4 linked regions of the Saccharomyces cerevisiae S288C genome follow. The gene in region 4 interacts genetically with the main gene of each other region. Each region holds a gene or a part of one and is shown on either strand. Other genes may lie near its edges. The genes, in order: ENV7, PPA2, ACF2 and BCD1.

Evidence for each region.
Region 1: mutations in BCD1 (region 4) and ENV7 together harm fitness more than expected from each alone (negative genetic interaction), as found in Saccharomyces cerevisiae (one large-scale study listed by BioGRID).
Region 2: mutations in BCD1 (region 4) and PPA2 together harm fitness more than expected from each alone (negative genetic interaction), as found in Saccharomyces cerevisiae (one large-scale study listed by BioGRID).
Region 3: mutations in BCD1 (region 4) and ACF2 together harm fitness more than expected from each alone (negative genetic interaction), as found in Saccharomyces cerevisiae (one large-scale study listed by BioGRID).

The regions. Positions count from the first base shown.
Region 1 is NC_001148.4:101,108-104,767, forward strand, and holds ENV7 (putative serine/threonine protein kinase ENV7), read right to left. Parts: upstream 1,596-3,660; coding exon 501-1,595; downstream 1-500. Other genes in the region: SUI3 (translation initiation factor eIF2 subunit beta), read left to right, coding at 1-246; RVB2 (RuvB family ATP-dependent DNA helicase reptin), read left to right, coding at 2,125-3,540. UniProt on the Saccharomyces cerevisiae protein: Serine/threonine-protein kinase involved in vacuolar processing and morphology.
Region 2 is NC_001145.3:798,513-804,178, reverse strand, and holds PPA2 (inorganic diphosphatase PPA2), read right to left. Parts: upstream 2,408-5,666; coding exon 1,475-2,407; downstream 1-1,474. Other genes in the region: U6 snRNP complex subunit PRP24, read left to right, coding at 1-1,291; RSN1 (Rsn1p), read right to left, coding at 2,800-5,661. UniProt on the Saccharomyces cerevisiae protein: Involved in energy production. Its activity is stimulated by uncouplers of ATP synthesis.
Region 3 is NC_001144.5:426,709-433,817, forward strand, and holds ACF2 (endo-1,3(4)-beta-glucanase), read right to left. Parts: upstream 5,309-7,109; coding exon 2,969-5,308; downstream 1-2,968. Other genes in the region: DPH6 (diphthine--ammonia ligase), read left to right, coding at 621-2,678; RMP1 (Rmp1p), read left to right, coding at 5,460-6,065; SPE4 (spermine synthase), read right to left, coding at 6,115-7,017. UniProt on the Saccharomyces cerevisiae protein: Cleaves internal linkages in 1,3-beta-glucan.
Region 4 is NC_001140.6:186,349-189,524, reverse strand, and holds BCD1 (Bcd1p), read right to left. Parts: upstream 1,602-3,176; coding exon 501-1,601; downstream 1-500. Other genes in the region: SRB2 (Srb2p), read left to right, coding at 1-394; VMA10 (H(+)-transporting V1 sector ATPase subunit G), read left to right, coding at 1,846-1,848, 2,011-2,352; MSC7 (meiotic recombination directing protein), read left to right, coding at 2,716-3,176. UniProt on the Saccharomyces cerevisiae protein: Required for box C/D snoRNAs accumulation involved in snoRNA processing, snoRNA transport to the nucleolus and ribosome biogenesis.

The sequences.
Region 1 (3,660 bases), on a different chromosome or scaffold from region 4:
GTTGACGGTCAGAAAAGATTAGTCATTAAGGGTAAGTTTCAATCCAAACAAATGGAGAATGTCTTAAGAAGATACATTTTGGAGTATGTCACTTGTAAAACTTGTAAGAGTATTAACACCGAATTGAAGAGAGAACAGTCAAACAGACTGTTCTTTATGGTCTGTAAAAGTTGTGGTTCTACCAGATCCGTCTCTTCTATTAAAACCGGTTTCCAAGCTACCGTTGGTAAGAGAAGGAGAATGTGATGTTGGTGCTTTACCTGTTAGCATATATATAATAAATACGGATTTCGTTTATCTTGTGTATTTTATTCGTTTCATTAGATATTTAATGTTTAAATGAAGAAAAACTTAAAGTAAAAATTTTCATTCACAAAATAAATCTAAACAGCGGTAGGTAATCTTCATTGATCAGAGTGAACACATTGCATGGAGCCAGCCAATCATCGTGTCCTGTTTACTTCCCAAGGACAGGAAAAAGCTTTGAGAAGCAAAACCGATCAAGTGTCTAAATCTTGTAAAAGATTTAATAATTGGCTGGTAGTAGGCCTTTGTATAGGATCCACTTGAATGCATTTCTTGATTACACTCAAAAGCCCCTCAGAAAATCTGGAATTTCTCGGGAAACTGTACTTACCAGTGTTTATAGCGTAGGTTAAAGAAGCTCCATGTATCTGCTCTTCTCGCTCAAAGGGGGAGATACCGAACATTAAAGTATAGAACGTACAACCCAAAGACCAAATATCAACCTTAGAGCTCAAAACCTGATTTAATTTCAAGTTCAGAAGTTCTGGTGGAGTATATGGCAACGTACAATTGTCATTGACCCATTCTTGTAGTTCGCTGAGTTGATGTCTGTTTTCAATTGTTATATCAGCTTGAGAGCAGGAGCCGAGGTCACCAATTACTGGTAAACCGTCTGAAGAGAACAAAATGTTTGAAGGTGTAATATCGCGATGTGCATATGCTATTGAACCTGCTGAGTTGGAGGAAAGCATGTCCATCTCTAAGGGGGTGTCTTCTAGGAGCATCGCCGTTTCATCGCTATAAGTCATAGAAACCGCATCGACATTTACTCTGGAAGTAGCGTTATCTTGTCTTGACGCAGGATCATGTAAACAAAGTAAACCTCTTGTAACTCCAAGCATTATCCTTACGCATTCTGCCTCTGATACAAAGGTGCCCTCGAGTAACCTCCGATTAATAGAGTCTTGTAAACTCCCTAATGAATAATAGGGTAGTACTATGTAAATTGTTTTTGACCCATCTTTTTCCTGCATTACTTGTGAGTCGATACTTTTTATAACATAAGGACTTTGAAACCGTTTGTAATTTTCAATTTCTCGCATACCATTGGATATACTTTCCACACTAGGACAAATAATCTTCTTTAGTGCGTATAATTCTGGTGTTGCGATGCCGTTGTCTATAATCAGAGAATTCTTTGACAGTTGTACCAAATACACAAAGGACATTCCACCTTCTCCAAGTAGTCGTTGAATCCTATATCGTTTATCATTTACCCTAATAGTAGCATCGGAAAATCCGCGACAGCAGCACAAGTTCTGGAACAATTCCAATACAATAGAAATCATTGATCGGATAAGATGGTACAATCGTTATTTTATCCCTAGTCAGTCGCTGAGATTACAGGCTCTTTTTGTCTACTCTCTGTTTCGTCTTTTTGGAGAAAGTATGGTTCAACATCTTACAAAACCAGATACCGAAAATGTCCCTAACTCGGTGTCATAAGACAGGACTTATCAAAACAGAAAGGATCTTGCAAAAAAGAAAAAGAGCAAATTATGTAAACTTTGGGGGTCAACACAGTTGTATCAGTCGTATTGGTTAGACCCAATATAGCGGTTTTCTTTACTTCTTTGTTTCTACACTTATTAAAGTCTATTTAACTCCCTTTCACGTGATCAGTTTGAAAGAAACGTGAAAATTATTTTTTTCAGCGAACTTTTTGAAGGTTTTCAATAGAAGATGAAAGCTAAATGAAGACTGTACATTCACACGGGAAACGAGAGAAAGAAGTTCAGTTAGTTGAAGCCAGCAATACTACTTTCTCTAGCAGTCTAGCACAAGTTACTTTGAAAGGAAATAAAAAAAATTGTCAGCATGTCGATTCAAACTAGTGATCCAAATGAAACATCAGATTTAAAGTCGTTATCTTTAATTGCTGCCCACTCCCATATTACAGGTTTAGGTCTAGATGAAAACTTGCAACCACGTCCCACATCCGAAGGTATGGTTGGGCAATTGCAAGCCCGTCGTGCTGCTGGTGTGATATTGAAAATGGTTCAAAATGGCACCATAGCAGGTAGGGCTGTTTTGGTAGCGGGCCCCCCTTCAACTGGTAAGACCGCTCTTGCCATGGGTGTTTCCCAGTCTCTGGGTAAAGATGTACCATTCACTGCTATTGCGGGCTCAGAAATCTTTTCTTTAGAATTGAGTAAAACTGAAGCACTAACTCAAGCTTTTAGGAAATCCATCGGTATCAAAATCAAGGAGGAGACAGAATTGATTGAAGGTGAAGTCGTGGAAATTCAAATTGATAGATCTATTACTGGTGGACACAAACAAGGAAAATTGACTATTAAAACTACCGATATGGAAACAATTTATGAATTAGGCAATAAAATGATTGATGGCCTAACTAAAGAAAAGGTATTGGCTGGCGATGTTATTTCTATTGATAAAGCTAGTGGGAAGATTACCAAGCTAGGCAGATCCTTTGCTAGATCTAGGGATTATGATGCCATGGGTGCTGATACCAGATTTGTTCAATGTCCGGAAGGCGAACTGCAAAAAAGGAAAACAGTGGTTCACACGGTGTCACTGCATGAAATTGATGTTATTAATTCAAGAACACAAGGATTTTTGGCATTATTTACTGGTGACACCGGTGAAATTAGGTCAGAGGTAAGAGACCAGATAAACACAAAAGTGGCAGAATGGAAAGAAGAAGGTAAAGCAGAAATTGTTCCTGGTGTATTATTTATCGACGAAGTCCACATGTTGGATATAGAATGTTTTTCCTTTATAAATAGGGCTTTGGAAGATGAGTTTGCCCCAATCGTCATGATGGCTACAAATAGAGGAGTTTCCAAAACCAGAGGGACTAATTACAAATCTCCACATGGGTTACCTCTCGATCTTTTGGATAGGTCAATTATTATTACAACTAAAAGTTATAATGAGCAGGAGATTAAGACAATTTTATCTATAAGAGCACAAGAGGAGGAAGTTGAACTGTCATCCGATGCCTTAGATCTATTGACCAAAACAGGTGTGGAAACTAGTTTGCGTTACAGCAGTAATTTAATCTCTGTTGCTCAGCAAATTGCAATGAAGAGAAAAAACAACACTGTTGAAGTGGAAGATGTCAAAAGGGCTTATTTGCTATTTTTGGACAGCGCTAGATCTGTTAAGTATGTTCAAGAGAACGAGTCACAATATATTGATGATCAGGGCAACGTTCAAATATCCATTGCTAAATCAGCAGACCCTGATGCCATGGATACTACGGAATAAGCATTTTGTACTTTAAGGCAGAAATTGCATCAAATATATATGTATAAATAAAAATTTTATGTTTGCGTGATTGTTGGTGATAAGAAGTAAAAAAGTACACCTAAAATAGGCAGCAGTTGG
Region 2 (5,666 bases), on a different chromosome or scaffold from region 4:
GGATGAAGGATCACCAGCAGCCGCAGGATTAACTTCTAAGAAGGCGAACGAAGCTTTAACAAGAAATAGAGAATTAACAACTGTATTAGTCAAAAATTTGCCTAAGAGCTATAATCAAAACAAAGTCTATAAGTACTTCAAACATTGTGGGCCCATTATACACGTTGATGTTGCGGATTCGCTGAAGAAGAACTTTCGTTTTGCACGTATTGAATTTGCCAGGTATGATGGAGCCCTCGCTGCAATAACCAAAACACACAAAGTTGTAGGTCAGAATGAAATTATAGTATCTCATTTAACAGAATGCACATTATGGATGACGAATTTCCCCCCAAGTTATACTCAAAGAAATATTAGAGATCTATTGCAAGATATTAACGTTGTTGCACTCAGTATACGGCTTCCCAGTTTACGATTCAATACAAGCAGAAGGTTCGCTTACATCGATGTTACTTCTAAAGAGGATGCAAGATATTGTGTAGAAAAATTGAATGGACTCAAAATAGAAGGTTATACTTTAGTTACTAAAGTTTCCAATCCGCTGGAAAAGTCGAAACGGACCGATTCTGCCACACTAGAGGGGCGAGAGATTATGATACGAAACCTAAGTACAGAATTGCTCGACGAAAACCTTCTGAGGGAATCTTTTGAGGGATTTGGTTCCATTGAAAAAATCAACATACCTGCTGGACAGAAAGAGCACAGTTTCAATAACTGTTGTGCATTTATGGTTTTTGAAAATAAAGATTCTGCTGAAAGGGCACTTCAAATGAATAGAAGTTTGTTAGGTAATAGGGAAATTTCCGTTTCCTTGGCTGATAAAAAACCATTCTTAGAAAGAAACGAAGTCAAAAGACTTCTCGCATCGCGTAACAGCAAAGAACTAGAAACACTAATATGCTTATTTCCACTTTCAGATAAGGTGTCACCAAGCTTAATCTGCCAATTTCTTCAGGAAGAAATACACATCAATGAAAAAGATATTAGGAAAATACTTCTCGTTAGCGACTTCAATGGCGCCATTATTATATTTAGAGATAGTAAGTTTGCAGCAAAAATGCTAATGATACTAAATGGATCTCAATTTCAGGGAAAGGTGATACGTTCAGGTACTATTAATGACATGAAAAGATATTATAACAATCAACAGAATCACAGCATGAAACACGTCAAACCTAGTTGTATAAACATGATGGAAAAAGGACCAAATCTTCAAGTAAAGAAAAAAATTCCTGACAAACAAGAGCAGATGTCCAACGACGATTTTCGCAAGATGTTTCTAGGTGAGTAGACTAACCGAACCGGAGAAAGACGAACTTCTAATAGGATGTCATTTTAGCAGTGAATATAAACCCAAGTTTCTTTCCAAACGTTCACATACATCAAGCAGCCAACATTCGAGAGAGCAGAGATTACGTAATTATATACAAGGAACCTTTATCTAAACATTTTCTTCGAAGGTATTATTTTCATATTAAACGTAATACCATTTTTGCACCTCAGGCGGTATTTGAGAAGGGGGTTTAACACTATCTTCAAGTGTGACACCATTACCAGCCCTTTCTGTATTAGGCAGGTTGTCATACTTCTCCTGGAGTGATCCTGAAATGAGGTTTTTCCACGAATTGTGACATTTCTTTATAGTTTGGATGGTTTTATTGGAATTTTGATACTGTTCATGAAAGGCGAAACTATTTAATGGCTTCCCTGCTGGAACTTTATACTTTCTAAACCACTCCCTAGTCGTATCTAGAATCCCAGGAAAGTACTCCTCAATTTTTTCCAAGTCATCTATTTTAGAGGATAAAGGATCATTTACGTCGATCACTATGACCTTCCAATCCAATTCTCCATCATCAATTAAAGCGAGTGATCCTAATACCTTGACCTTTTTAATGGAACCCATTTCCAAAACATCCGAACCGATTTCGCAACAATCAAGAGGATCATTGTCACCTTTCAAAGCCACGTCACACTTCCCCAGTTTATGTTCAATTGTGGGATCTTCCCATGTTTGGGGAATAGCACCATAGTTGTGTATATAGCCGTGATAGGGAAAGATATTGTTCACGAACCTAAGCTTGCCATTCTTCGTATCTTGAACGATCGGATTGAACCTAAGTTCTTTGGATATTTCAAATTTTCCAGTTGTCCATCTTGGTACTTCAACAATCATATTTACGGTCTTTTCATGTTCATTCAAATCTAAAGGGACATCATGGAAAAAAGAACCAACCTCTCCATTTAATAATGTCAAGTATTTCTTAAACCCGAGGGTATATTTGCTGCCTTGTTGAATGGTGCTGAATTGTCTATGATTACGAATGGATAAAATATTCAATGTTTGTTTTAACCGTTCTATTGACCTAGCCTTGCTTGTTAAAGCATTCATTCGTAATAAATTCATGTTTTTCAGTAACTTCTCTAGAAGGGAATTTGCTTTTCACGCATACAAGCGAATCAAAGTTTCCAATTGAATGTACTCCCTATTAGTGCTGGTTAAATTAGCTGACTGCTCCGTATTACTGTGCGGAGTTCCTTTTATCCAATATTCAAACCTCATAGATTGCCAAAAACAAAAAAACTTTGCATAAAAAAAAACAAAAAGGGTTACTATACACGATGAATGATTAGACTATACACTATTATATAAGAAATGATTAGAATCATATTTTAAATGTATTAAAAGAATATATGCACGTCCTTTTCCTCTCCTTTTCTTAGTAAAATTACAATTCAACCATCAGAGGATAACAGCTAAACAAATAGGAATAGATAATTTCTGATAATGTTTAACCTTTAGACTGCCGAACGACTCTCTTCTTCCTTATACTTTGGGTCCGCAAATGGATTATTTTCCTTACTAGCTGTGTCAAATTCGCCATTTGCTTCACCATTTGCTTCGTCTTTAACATCATTATATGGTGGTGGTACGTCACGCAGAGTAAATTTCAAATTCTCATCGATGGTAGCATTTTCATCGTTCATTTCAACAACGCCAGAAACGTCTGAAATCAACAATTTGGAAAATCCAAAAGGATCGCGAGGAATCCACAATTCGGGGCATTGTGCACTAACAGCTGGATAATCGTAAGCATGAGAGATATCGAAATCATTGACTCTTTCATCAGGATCAACCAAACCATATATTTCTGGCAGTCTGCTCTTTACAGCCTTATAGGAGTAGTAAATGTGAGGTTTTAAGAATCTCTTCCACCATGGAGCCGGAGGAATTTTCATTGTATCACCATCTGCTAATAATGGCACGTCCTCAATTAAATTTTCTGCATTTATAGCGTGCCCATCTGCATTGGCTTCATTTGCTGGGTTGAATTGATATTCGAATGTATTTTCACTAAATATGCTATTTTCAACTTGTTGCTCAGTGACTGATTCACTCCTCTTGTGATATTTCTTTATTGGAAATTCAGGTAATTCTTTGATTCCGTCCATGTCAATATTTGCACCAAAAGTATTTTTCTTCACCTTTGTACTTTCTATGCCTTTATAAATATTTTTGAAAGAAGGTGTATCTGATACACCATCTAACGGTTTCATGGTATCAACGGGTATAACCTTTGATAAATGATCAAATGCAGCGCTCAAATGTAAATGAATAAGGACGGTAACACAAATTCCAATTACCTGTAAAACGATTGGGCCCCAACCTTTACCAACGGCAAAAAGACCTAATAGACATATCTGACCGATGTAGATACCAACTATAGTTTGGAAAAGAGCTCTTGGATAATAAATACCCCTTGCGTCGGGTGATTCCTGATAGACATAAGTCAAATTGTATAAATATGCAATATACAATAGGAAAAACGCGACGGCAGCAAATAATAAAATCAACGGAGAAATGATGGAGTAGGAGAAAGTAATAACTGCCAAGTTTGTATAAACTGGAAAAGCTGTCCCCCACTGCATACTGGATAGCCCACAAAAACGATTCCATTTCTTCCTAACGGTACCATCTAAAAAGGCACCTAAAACATAAAAGAGTATTAGTGGAACAATTTGCAAAAGAGCACCTGATGAAATGGACAGACCTTGTAGAATAACGTATGACATGAAAAAATTAGAAGCTTTTGGCAGATTAGAAGCCAGTAGATCCATAGCCTTCGTGGGCTCTTTAACAATTTCCGTTACTGTGGAAGTGGCGGCGGAGGATAGAGTGGTAACTAAAAAGACTTGGATAACTTGAAAGGCGAAATAAGCTTGTTGAGTGAAATATTCCACATTTTGCTTAGATGGAGCACCTTGAGTGATAGCCATACCCCTAATAAATTTCGGCAAGAAACTCATTAAAACGGCCAATGCCACAGTTGGGGCCAGAGATGTCAGTAAACCTAATAGTTGTTTTGGTAATTTATAGATGAACTTTAACCATTTAACTTCATTAGTCAAGGAAGTAATATTAGAGATCATACCAACAAAAGCCACTGGGAAAGCCCATAATATTACTAGCGCGACAATTGCTGAAACCGCACTGACTTCCCTACCTAATCTTTCCCACCAGAACATCCTCAAATTAAACCAAACGACATCGGATGGCTCAATACCAATATACACAGGCGTCATGAAAAGAGGAGCATGGTATGTGGTGATCTGAGCGGCAACTTGGGCCTGATATTGGGATTCAAACTCCACAAAAACGGAGTTGAAAGGGGATGAATTTTCATGATCTTCTTGTAATGCCTTCACCTTTTGGTTTAACTTGGGCAACTCCTCCTTAATGTAGGATATGGTGTCAACTTTTTTACCAAAAAAGAATTTAGCAACCTTGTTAATTTTATGATGTGGTCTTTTCTTGTCAGGGACATATTCAGCAATATTATCAGAGACAGATAATTGCGGACTTTTTTTGTTTAACTTCTTAATTTTTTTCAATGCTGCTTTCAGGTATTTTGTTTCAGCACCTTCCAATTGTATGGCCATATTGTCCCTTGCTTTGACCATTGCTTCAATTGAACCGGAACCTCTTGCGATCCAGACTCTTTTCACACCATCAAACAACTTAGAAAACTCTTCTTCACTTAAGTATTGCTTAGGGACAGTCTGGAATAACACGGTTCTCGAGGATAGTTTTTTAGCATAACGAGGGGACGCTAGTACAGCTTGCTTCATAGAGGTGTAAAAATACAATTCTCTGTAAATAATGTAAAGGAACCCCCAAAAGAAAATCCATCCACAGAAAACATGTGCAAAATATCTACCACGGTGCTTGACGTTCTGATAGGCCAATTGATTCAATCCGCTTTCATGGTTACCGTTACTGGCGTTAATGGACAACAAAATAGGGAATATATAACTCATGGAAACAGCACAGTAAATTGCAATGATGAAAAGGTACCTCAAAAAGAAATATCCATCCAGACCGGCTTGTTGAATGACAAAATTGTCTGATTTTTTCAATAACGGCTTCAGCCATTGCCAGACGCCCTGCGGTAGCGGTTCTGGCTTTTTTTCTTCATTAATCAGATTGAATGAGGATTTGGGCTCATAAATCCTTTTTAGTTTTATACGCAAAATCAAGAACGCTATGACAAAAACACCAAAAATAGTACCATTACTTACCAAAGAAGTAACGACTTGTTGAGTTGACGTGTTTGTACTGGTAGCTGTTGTAGTACTATTAGTACTATTAGTACTATTCATTTTGT
Region 3 (7,109 bases), on a different chromosome or scaffold from region 4:
ACATATTATATATAAGTAATGATAATAACACTAATAGTAAAGTAAACGCACGGATATCAAGAGTTAATATACTTGAACCACTTAAATAACAATCTGTTGGTAAAGCTTTCTTCCTATTGATTATGGGTTCGAATAGTACCAGATGTTTTGCCAATCCTAAATCGGTAGGAAAGTGGCTTGTCGTCGTCAGGCTTATTATCAACTCTTATGCACAAGAAAGGTACTCATCTTCTATAAACTACATAAGACCTGAATCTAATCAAAGGGAGAAAGCGCAGAACATCAGATTTAAAGCGGTTTTGCTTGATACACTCAGCCTTGTCTCTTTGTAAGGATTTTGGGGTACCTATGAATAATACATCTAGTAGTGTTAGTAAACCAACGTATGGGATTTTGGGATACATAGTTTTCCAGTGTTTCTTATCCGTGATAGTTTAATGGTCAGAATGGGCGCTTGTCGCGTGCCAGATCGGGGTTCAATTCCCCGTCGCGGAGAATTTTTTTAAGCTTCTATTAAAGAAGCTTTTTTTCACTTATATCTGATGGATGATGAATAGCTAGTTCAAACGGAAATCTTTGATAAAGCTATATCAAAATTCAAAGCCCAATAAGTCAGTATCATGAAGTTTATAGCATTAATATCAGGTGGGAAGGACTCGTTCTACAATATTTTTCACTGCCTGAAGAACAACCATGAATTGATTGCCCTGGGAAATATATACCCAAAAGAATCAGAAGAGCAAGAATTAGACTCTTTCATGTTCCAAACAGTAGGACATGACTTAATAGACTATTATTCTAAATGTATTGGTGTTCCACTATTTAGACGCTCAATATTACGGAACACTTCTAACAACGTCGAGTTGAATTATACTGCTACTCAGGATGATGAAATTGAAGAACTATTTGAACTTCTAAGAACTGTCAAAGATAAAATTCCAGATTTAGAAGCTGTTAGTGTAGGTGCCATCTTATCGTCTTACCAGAGGACCAGAGTGGAAAATGTTTGTTCCAGATTGGGTCTAGTAGTGCTAAGCTATTTATGGCAAAGGGATCAAGCCGAACTAATGGGTGAAATGTGCCTTATGTCCAAGGATGTTAACAATGTTGAAAACGATACTAATTCAGGAAATAAATTTGACGCCAGGATAATCAAGGTGGCAGCAATTGGATTGAACGAGAAACATTTAGGAATGTCCTTGCCTATGATGCAACCGGTGTTACAGAAACTTAACCAACTTTATCAAGTTCATATCTGTGGAGAGGGTGGGGAGTTTGAGACAATGGTCTTGGATGCCCCTTTTTTCCAACATGGATACTTGGAATTAATTGATATTGTCAAATGTAGCGATGGTGAAGTTCACAATGCAAGGTTAAAGGTAAAATTTCAACCGCGTAATTTGAGCAAAAGTTTTTTACTCAACCAATTAGATCAATTACCTGTACCTTCGATTTTTGGTAATAATTGGCAAGATTTAACCCAAAATTTGCCAAAGCAACAAGCTAAAACAGGAGAACAAAGATTTGAAAATCACATGTCGAATGCTCTACCACAAACGACAATCAATAAAACCAATGATAAGTTGTACATCTCTAACCTACAATCACGTAAAAGTGAGACGGTCGAGAAGCAAAGTGAAGATATTTTTACTGAGCTAGCCGACATTCTGCATTCCAACCAGATTCCACGGAATCATATTTTATCTGCGTCATTATTAATTAGAGATATGTCTAATTTCGGAAAAATCAACAAAATATACAATGAATTTTTAGATTTGTCAAAATACGGACCTTTGCCACCATCAAGAGCATGCGTAGGTTCGAAGTGCTTGCCAGAAGATTGTCACGTACAGTTATCAGTTGTTGTTGATGTAAAAAATACAGGCAAAGAAAAAATCAACAAGAATAAGGGCGGACTACATGTTCAAGGCCGTTCATATTGGGCTCCATGTAATATCGGACCATATTCCCAAAGTACTTGGTTAAACGATGATGCAAACCAAGTCAGTTTTATCAGTGGGCAAATCGGACTAGTACCGCAGTCAATGGAAATATTAGGAACACCTCTCACTGACCAAATAGTTTTGGCATTACAACATTTTGATACTTTGTGTGAAACAATAGGAGCTCAAGAAAAGTTACTCATGACATGCTATATTTCAGACGAATCGGTTCTCGACTCTGTCATCAAAACATGGGCGTTTTATTGTTCAAATATGAATCATAGATCAGATCTATGGATGGACAAATCTGATGATGTTGAAAAATGCCTAGTTCTTGTAAAGATTTCTGAATTACCTAGAGGCGCTGTTGCAGAATTTGGTGGTGTTACTTGTAAGAGATTAATAGTGGACGATAATGATTCCGACAAGAAAGAAAGGGAAGAGAATGATGATGTTTCAACCGTATTCCAGAAATTGAATTTGAATATTGAAGGTTTTCATAACACTACAGTTAGTGCGTTTGGATATAATAGAAACTTTATTACGGGATTTGTAGATAGTAGAGAGGAGTTAGAACTTATCTTGGAAAAAACCCCAAAATCAGCCCAGATTACCCTCTATTATAATCCCAAAGAAATCATCACTTTCCACCATCACATTGGATACTATCCGGTGGAGAAACTTTTTGATTACCGTGGTAAAGAACACCGCTTTGGGTTGCATATTCGTTCCTAACTCCAAATGTAGGCCTTATATTTTATAAACTTAATAGATATACGCTGTCCACGCTCCTGGCGGTGTAAATGATAGACAGATCCCAAATATGTTAGCAAATCATAGGAACAACACCATATTGTGAACACGTAAAATTTAGAATACGCCGCACAATTAAGGTGTGTTCTGTAATAATTTGATTATTGATGATGGTTTAGGAACCAATATTCATATAAAAAAATGATCATTCTATAAAATACCTTATCGTAACACTTGTACCATGCTACTAACACTGTATATATTTCTGACCCCTAAGAAAAAGCACCTGAATAAGCTAAAGACCAAGTTAAGCTTTGCCCATTGTCTAGGAAATTTCTGTTGAAATCAGGTTGGCTGAAAAAGTCGTACGAAAATTTTGGATCAAGCAGAGCCATATTTAACATGATTATTCCTTTCCAACCGTCATTCACTTGATCAATTATCGGCTGCATTTTTTCTTCCCACTCCTCTTTGACAAAATTTGGTGTTCTGACCCATGAAGATGCTGATGTTATAGGAATGGCGTGAATCATATGAATGTATTGAGGCTCCATGCCAAAATACGTGGCGTGATCAATTTTATTTTCGAATAAAATACCACTAACTTTATTACCAATAAATTCTTTCGGTTGGACAGTATTATTGCTTTCGTATAGGAAGTAGCTCTGGAAAACATTTCTCATGATGCCGAGTTGTAAGTTCGCTATGTCAGTTAACTTAGAATTTCCAGTTACCAACCCCCACAATTTTATCGCATAGCAAGAATTGACATCTTCTGAAGTAGATTCTTCATCTTTACCGTCACCACTTGGAAATAGTCCTTTGGCCCATGAATGGCCATTAAACCAATCAAATGACCTAAATTGAGGGAAGTACGGATCATCGTTGTCAACACCAGAGTAATCTCTAATTAAGCACTCAACCCAATCTCTATTATTTTCTAACCAGGAGTTGTTAGTAACTCCACTTAAATCAGAATCGACTAAAGAGATAATGGCAGCCGTTATGACATGATAAGAGTAATGAAAATGATGATCATTATAATAAGAGTTACCAAAGTCTTGGCTAGAAGAGCCTGATGAAATTATGCCTTTCCAACTAACGTCGTAATTTAAAGGTAAGACTTGCTGATTGCTGATGAATCTCTCCATTGCAATAGTCAGTTTAGATAATAATTCTTTTGTTAAATTTTCATCATGAAGGATGTAATGTGTCACATAAAGAATCCACGCATACTTTGCAAGTATCTTACCAGAGAAATACATAGAATCTATGTTTGATTCTTGTTGAGGGTCACTCAATTGAACTTCTTGAACAGCAGCTTCCCGAATTTTAGATAGCTTTTCTTGACTGTAATCTGCCTTCTTATTCAAAGATAACGCGACAGGTTCAAAGCCCAATTCTTGAGGTACTTGAACCTGCATATCAAAACTGTTTGTGAGATAACCAGTCATTAAGCCTTTAACTGTGGAATCCAGGCTTGAGGCAATTTCACGTTCCTGCATTTCTGGTGTGAATGCCGCTTTATGATGTGGTAAAGCATACATTAGAGTAGTTCCAGACTGCGAGTAGCCTGCAACCGTATAGTTAAATCTGTAATTTGTGAAATGTTCATCAACAGTTTGCCCTGATAGGTCACAGTATACTGGATAACAGCCCGCTGCCATGTCAATACTGGGGACGGAGTCTGCAGATAATTGACAGATAAGACCATTGATTTTATGAGATGATATTATTGTATTGCTGTCGAGTAATGAAATTTGAAAATCTTGTGGAAAAGAGTAATCAGGTGAGGTCAAATAAAGTATCCAATTCCTATTATTCTCAAGTTGTATATTATATTTACCATATCTTTCATTCACGCTTATGCGCTCTAAGCTCCTGAAACCAACGGCGCTTCTTAATTCAAAACCCAAATCGTGGTAAATAGCCGTGACAAAGCCCATCCCCTGAACCAGCGGGAATTCTATAAACTGGGAACTACTCAAAGACATTAGTAAGCACATGGACATATGTTTCATATCCCGGAATTCAAGCTTGATATCATTTGAAGAGACAAATTCCCTGGCCTTGAATACAAATGATTTTATATTTGTGGGATTGAAGTAGAATCTGGGAGGATTTGTAGTTGTATCAAAAACCCTTTGAGACGCTAAAGTATGATTGGCGGCCAAACCAAACAATTCTGGATCACGAGAAAACCAAATTGAATAAGGATGTGTCCATATAGGTTGTGTATTATCGTCTAATAACATGTTTGTGTAGAACTTGTTTGTCTCCAATGGATCAACAGATTGATCATCAATATTCGGCTTTGGTACCGGGTGTTGAACTTTGTTGAAGACGGAAGGAGGAGCTTTTAAGTTAGAAAGGACAGGTGATTGAAAAATATTGTCACTATTCACCTGGCTGTCAGCTAAAGGGTTAGAACTGCTTGGTGTGCGCAGTGATTCACCTGCCACCCTATTTTCTCGAGGTTTACTGGAGTTCTCAGAAGAACAAACTGGTGGCTGAACATTTGCGCGAGGTGGTAAGGGAGGAGGTCCTCTATTGGTAGTACCGCCAGGTCTATTAGGAACAGGTGGAGGAATGGCTTGCCTACTGTAACACATCTTTTTACTTCTCGTATTTATTTATTTTTGTTTTTATGATACTAGCACTTTTCAGAAATTCATGAATTTTATTTATGGTTCCAAGAAAAAAACTTCAAAGAAATGAGTACTAGAATGATATATCCACAAAAAAAAAAAGAGCAGAAACAAAATGGATGAGATGGATAATGTGATACGATCTCTGGAGCAAGAATATCGGTTAATATTGCTCTTGAACCATAGGAACAAAAATCAACATAGAGCGGCTAGCTGGTATGGATCGTTCAATGAGATGAAAAGAAATTGTGGACAAATAATAACGCTTTTTAGCTCGAGAAGATTACAAGCCAAACGCCTTAAAGATGTTGAATGGGTCAAGTTGCACAGGCTATTACAGAGAGCACTTTTTAGACAGTTAAAGAGATGGTACTGGCAGTTCAATGGCGTAATTGCGCTGGGACAATTTGTAACGTTGGGTTGTACACTAGTAACATTGCTGGCAAATGTGAGGGCACTGTATATGAGATTATGGGAGATTAATGAAACTGAGTTTATAAGATGTGGATGCTTAATAAAGAACTTACCGAGAACAAAAGCAAAATCGGTTGTGAACGATGTCGAAGAACTTGGAGAAATTATAGATGAAGATATTGGCAACAACGTTCAAGAAAACGAACTAGTGATAACGTCTATACCAAAGCCTCTGACAGAGAACTGTAAGAAGAAAAAGAAAAGGAAAAAGAAGAACAAATCAGCCATTGATGGCATATTCGGATAAATATACAAGTAAATAGACTTTTTAAAATAATAATATCAATGCTAATAAATCATTCATTAATGACCTTGTCTGCCCAAGTAGGCAAAACAAACGCACTAGAATGTATTTGAGGATTATAGTACTTCAGCTTCCCTTGTTCTTGCTCAGATATCTTTCTTTGCGGAATGTTCAACGGTATATTGGCGTTATTACTGCAAACAATTAAACCTAATTGGCCAGATGTATAGGTTGGAACCATGGTATAGCAATATTCTGTATTAGGAAATACCTTTTTGGCTGTATTTTTCAAATCATGTAAGTATTTTAAATTTAACCAAAAATTTTCAGAGCTTTGCATAATAACAACGCCATTAGGATTTAAAGCATCTTTCAATAGTTCGAAATACCTCTCTTGAAAAAACGCTTCAGCTGGACCTTCAGGATCAGAACTATCTGTAATAATGACGTCAAATTTCTTATGGACGTCGGAAGCACCTATATCTTGTAAGAACTTGAAGCCATCGCAAAGTTTCAAGTCCAACCTTTCGTCATCGAAAGCACCATTACTCAATGTGGGCAAGAACTTACGGGATAATTCGATCACTGATGAGTCAATTTCTACCATAGTGATATCTTCTACACAGCTGTGCTTGGCTACTTCCCTTAAGACACCTCCGTCCCCACCGCCAATGATAAGTACACGCTTGGGATTAGAATGCGCAAACATGGCAATGTGGGTGATCATCTCTTGATAGGCAAACTCATCAAATTCCGTACATTGGACAATACCATCGAGGACCAAAACAGTACCGTATACCTTGTTACGGAAGATTAAGATGTCCTGAAATTCACTGCGGGCTTCATAAAGTATTGAGTCCACGGTCATAGTAAAGGCCTGGCCCGGAAAACTTTTATCATTAATCTCTCTAAACCATCCATCTTTGATGTAAGGATGCTGTGAATTATTAACCATAATGTATAACTGAATCTGTCACTTTATCCTGCCTGTCTCATCGGCGTTTTGATATTTTATTTTTAACTAAAATCAGCAGCAACTTGAAAAAT
Region 4 (3,176 bases):
GACTGCCGCAGCGGCGGATATCCCTCCGGCGCTGGTGTTCAATGGCTCATCTACGGGCGTTCCTGAGTCCATAGACACTATTTTGTCGTCCAAGCTGTCCAACATCTGGATGCAGAGGCAGCTCATCAAGGGTGATGCCGGTGAGACGTTGATCTTGGACGGGCTCACCGTGCGACTCGTCAACCTCTTCTCCTCCACTGGGTTCAAGGGTCTCCTGATAGAACTGCAGGCGGACGAAGCGGGCGAGTTTGAGACCAAGATTGCAGGCATCGAAGGACACCTAGCTGAAATCCGGGCCAAGGAGTACAAAACCTCATCCGACTCGTTGGGGCCGGACACCAGCAACGAAATATGTGATTTGGCGTACCAGTATGTTCGTGCTCTGGAGCTGTGAGTTCTTACGAATGCTTTTTCTTTTTTTTTTTTTCTGTTTGTATATTGCGGTGTATACGTATAGATAGATAGTCTAAATAGTAATCTTCAACCTTATGTATCTCGGCTCATGCAGTGAGGAAATCCATGGATAAGCCCGGATTGTAGTCATCGTCGCTGTCGCTGTCGCTGTCGCTGGCGTCCTGTGTTTCCTTCTGTACAGGTTCTTCTGTCGGTTGAGAGTCCTCTTCAGCGTCTTCCTCCTCCCTTGCATTGTCAATAAACTTGTTCAGTGTACTCGTATGCTCAAGTGGGCGGGGTTCCTGGTGTAGCACCTCGTAGCCCTCTGGTAGGTCAGCCTCTGTCATGGCAACGAATATCGTGGGAAACTCGATCACTGTGGTGTTCTTCAACAATTCTCCGATGCATTTCTCATGTATAGCCAACTCCACCAGTTTTTTTGAATCCATTATATGCGTGGTGTTGTAAGGGAACGTTTTCGTGTAGAATTTGAGCCCACTCTTCTGTAGGATCTGTGTTCTTTCCTCTTTGGTCTCCGAACCGTCTTCGCCCTCTATGCAAGAGCTTGTTCCAGCCAAGCGATAGAATTCACAGCATTTTTGGAAAACGTTCTTGCCCATCCCTTGCACCAAAAAGTCTGTCTCTTTGATACGGTGGCTGACATGTTTGAAAAGCTCCTTTTTCTCACCCTTTTCCTGCATAGGACATAGAATCCACTCCACGCTCCATACAAATAGGTCCATCGTTTTGTCCCACTTGCTCCTGTTTTGCGATGATCGCTGCATCCCCTTGGGTAGCATCAAACAGTTCACCCCCCTCCTAATTATCCTCTGACACTCCGTGCTATCACGATCATCCTCATCTATATCGTATCTTCTCTTCTTGAAATTAGAGTTGTGGCCGCCCACAGGCCCCAGAACCCGCTTGTTCTTCATTCTAGCATCCATCTTTTGTACATGCACCATTCGCTTCAACTGCGTCAGATAGTTGTAGTCCCTCTGGACATAAGCATTTCGTTCGTGCTTGTCGTCGTCCGCCTGTTTCAACGCCTCACTCGATATATACTCCTTAGGATCATGTGTTTGACCTGAGCAATTGTCCCTTGTCTTGTGCTTCTTGGAACACTCCAAAGAGCAAGTTTGCACCAAACATCTTGGACACTTGTATTTGAACTCTTTTATTCCGCATACACCACACAACACCGCCATACTTGCAAATTGCCACACCCTTCCCTATTAACTGGACTCCTATTCCAGCTCATCTCATCGAATATGAACTTTGACATCCACTATTATTACCGCGAATTTTTTTTTTTTTCAATTTGTTACCCTGCCTTGGGTATCAAAAATTTCATCTCTAAAAGGGAGCGTGATAGATAAAGCAATCACACCTTAAACAATACATTTTTTTTTTTCCTGCAATCTCCAAAGTGTGCAAGGTATACAAAGCAGAATGGTATGTGCCATTACATTACGTGTCAACACTTCTGTCTCTAACAAGCGTTCTTACTAACATGAAAAACTTTTTTAAAACTGTGCTCTCTTGTTGGACTGGTACCTCGTGACAAAGGTATTGGTTTTTTCATTGTTGCTCAGAACTATGTAATATTCTCTTTAGTCCCAAAAAAACGGAATTGCCACCCTACTACAAGCTGAAAAGGAAGCCCACGAAATAGTATCAAAGGCTAGAAAGTACAGACAAGATAAGTTGAAGCAAGCCAAGACTGATGCAGCCAAGGAAATCGACTCATACAAAATTCAAAAAGACAAGGAATTGAAGGAGTTTGAACAAAAGAATGCCGGTGGTGTTGGTGAATTGGAAAAGAAAGCAGAGGCTGGTGTGCAAGGTGAATTAGCTGAGATTAAGAAAATTGCAGAGAAGAAAAAGGATGACGTTGTCAAAATTTTGATCGAGACTGTCATCAAGCCTTCTGCTGAAGTCCATATCAATGCCTTGTAATATTGCATTACATTCTAGTTTTCTAATCATATATCTTTTTATAATATAATACCAATAGAATAAAAATGTATAAACTGACATTGCATTCGGTCTTTACGACTCTCGCTTTATCCATTCAGCCTTTTTTTTTTTTTTTTTTTTTTCTCTATCTGCTAAACGAGTAGTAGTATAATCAAAAATGTGTTATTTAGTATATCGGTTGTAAAGGAGAAAGTATGGTCTCTCTATTTTTATTTTATTAACGAAAAATACTAAACGCCGATGGGGATTACTATATAATTATAATAGTATTTGCAGAATAGTAGAATTCTTTTCACAGTTCACGTTCAGTTTCTCCTCTGTTTTATCGAACGTTTATTCATCATGTCCAAGGTCTATCTGAATTCAGACATGATTAACCATTTGAACTCCACAGTTCAAGCTTACTTTAACTTATGGTTGGAGAAGCAAAACGCAATAATGCGTTCTCAACCCCAAATTATTCAAGATAACCAAAAACTGATAGGCATTACAACGCTAGTTGCCTCAATTTTCACTCTGTATGTTTTGGTCAAGATAATCTCCACCCCAGCAAAGTGTTCCTCGTCCTATAAGCCAGTCAAATTCTCCCTTCCTGCACCAGAGGCCGCTCAAAATAATTGGAAGGGCAAGAGGTCTGTTTCCACTAACATATGGAATCCTGAAGAACCAAACTTTATTCAATGTCATTGTCCCGCCACAGGTCAATATCTAGGTTCTTTTCCATCGAAAACGGAAGCTGACATAGATGAAATGGTTTCTAAGGCAGGCAAAGCTCAATCTACTTGGGGCAATTCTGATTTCTC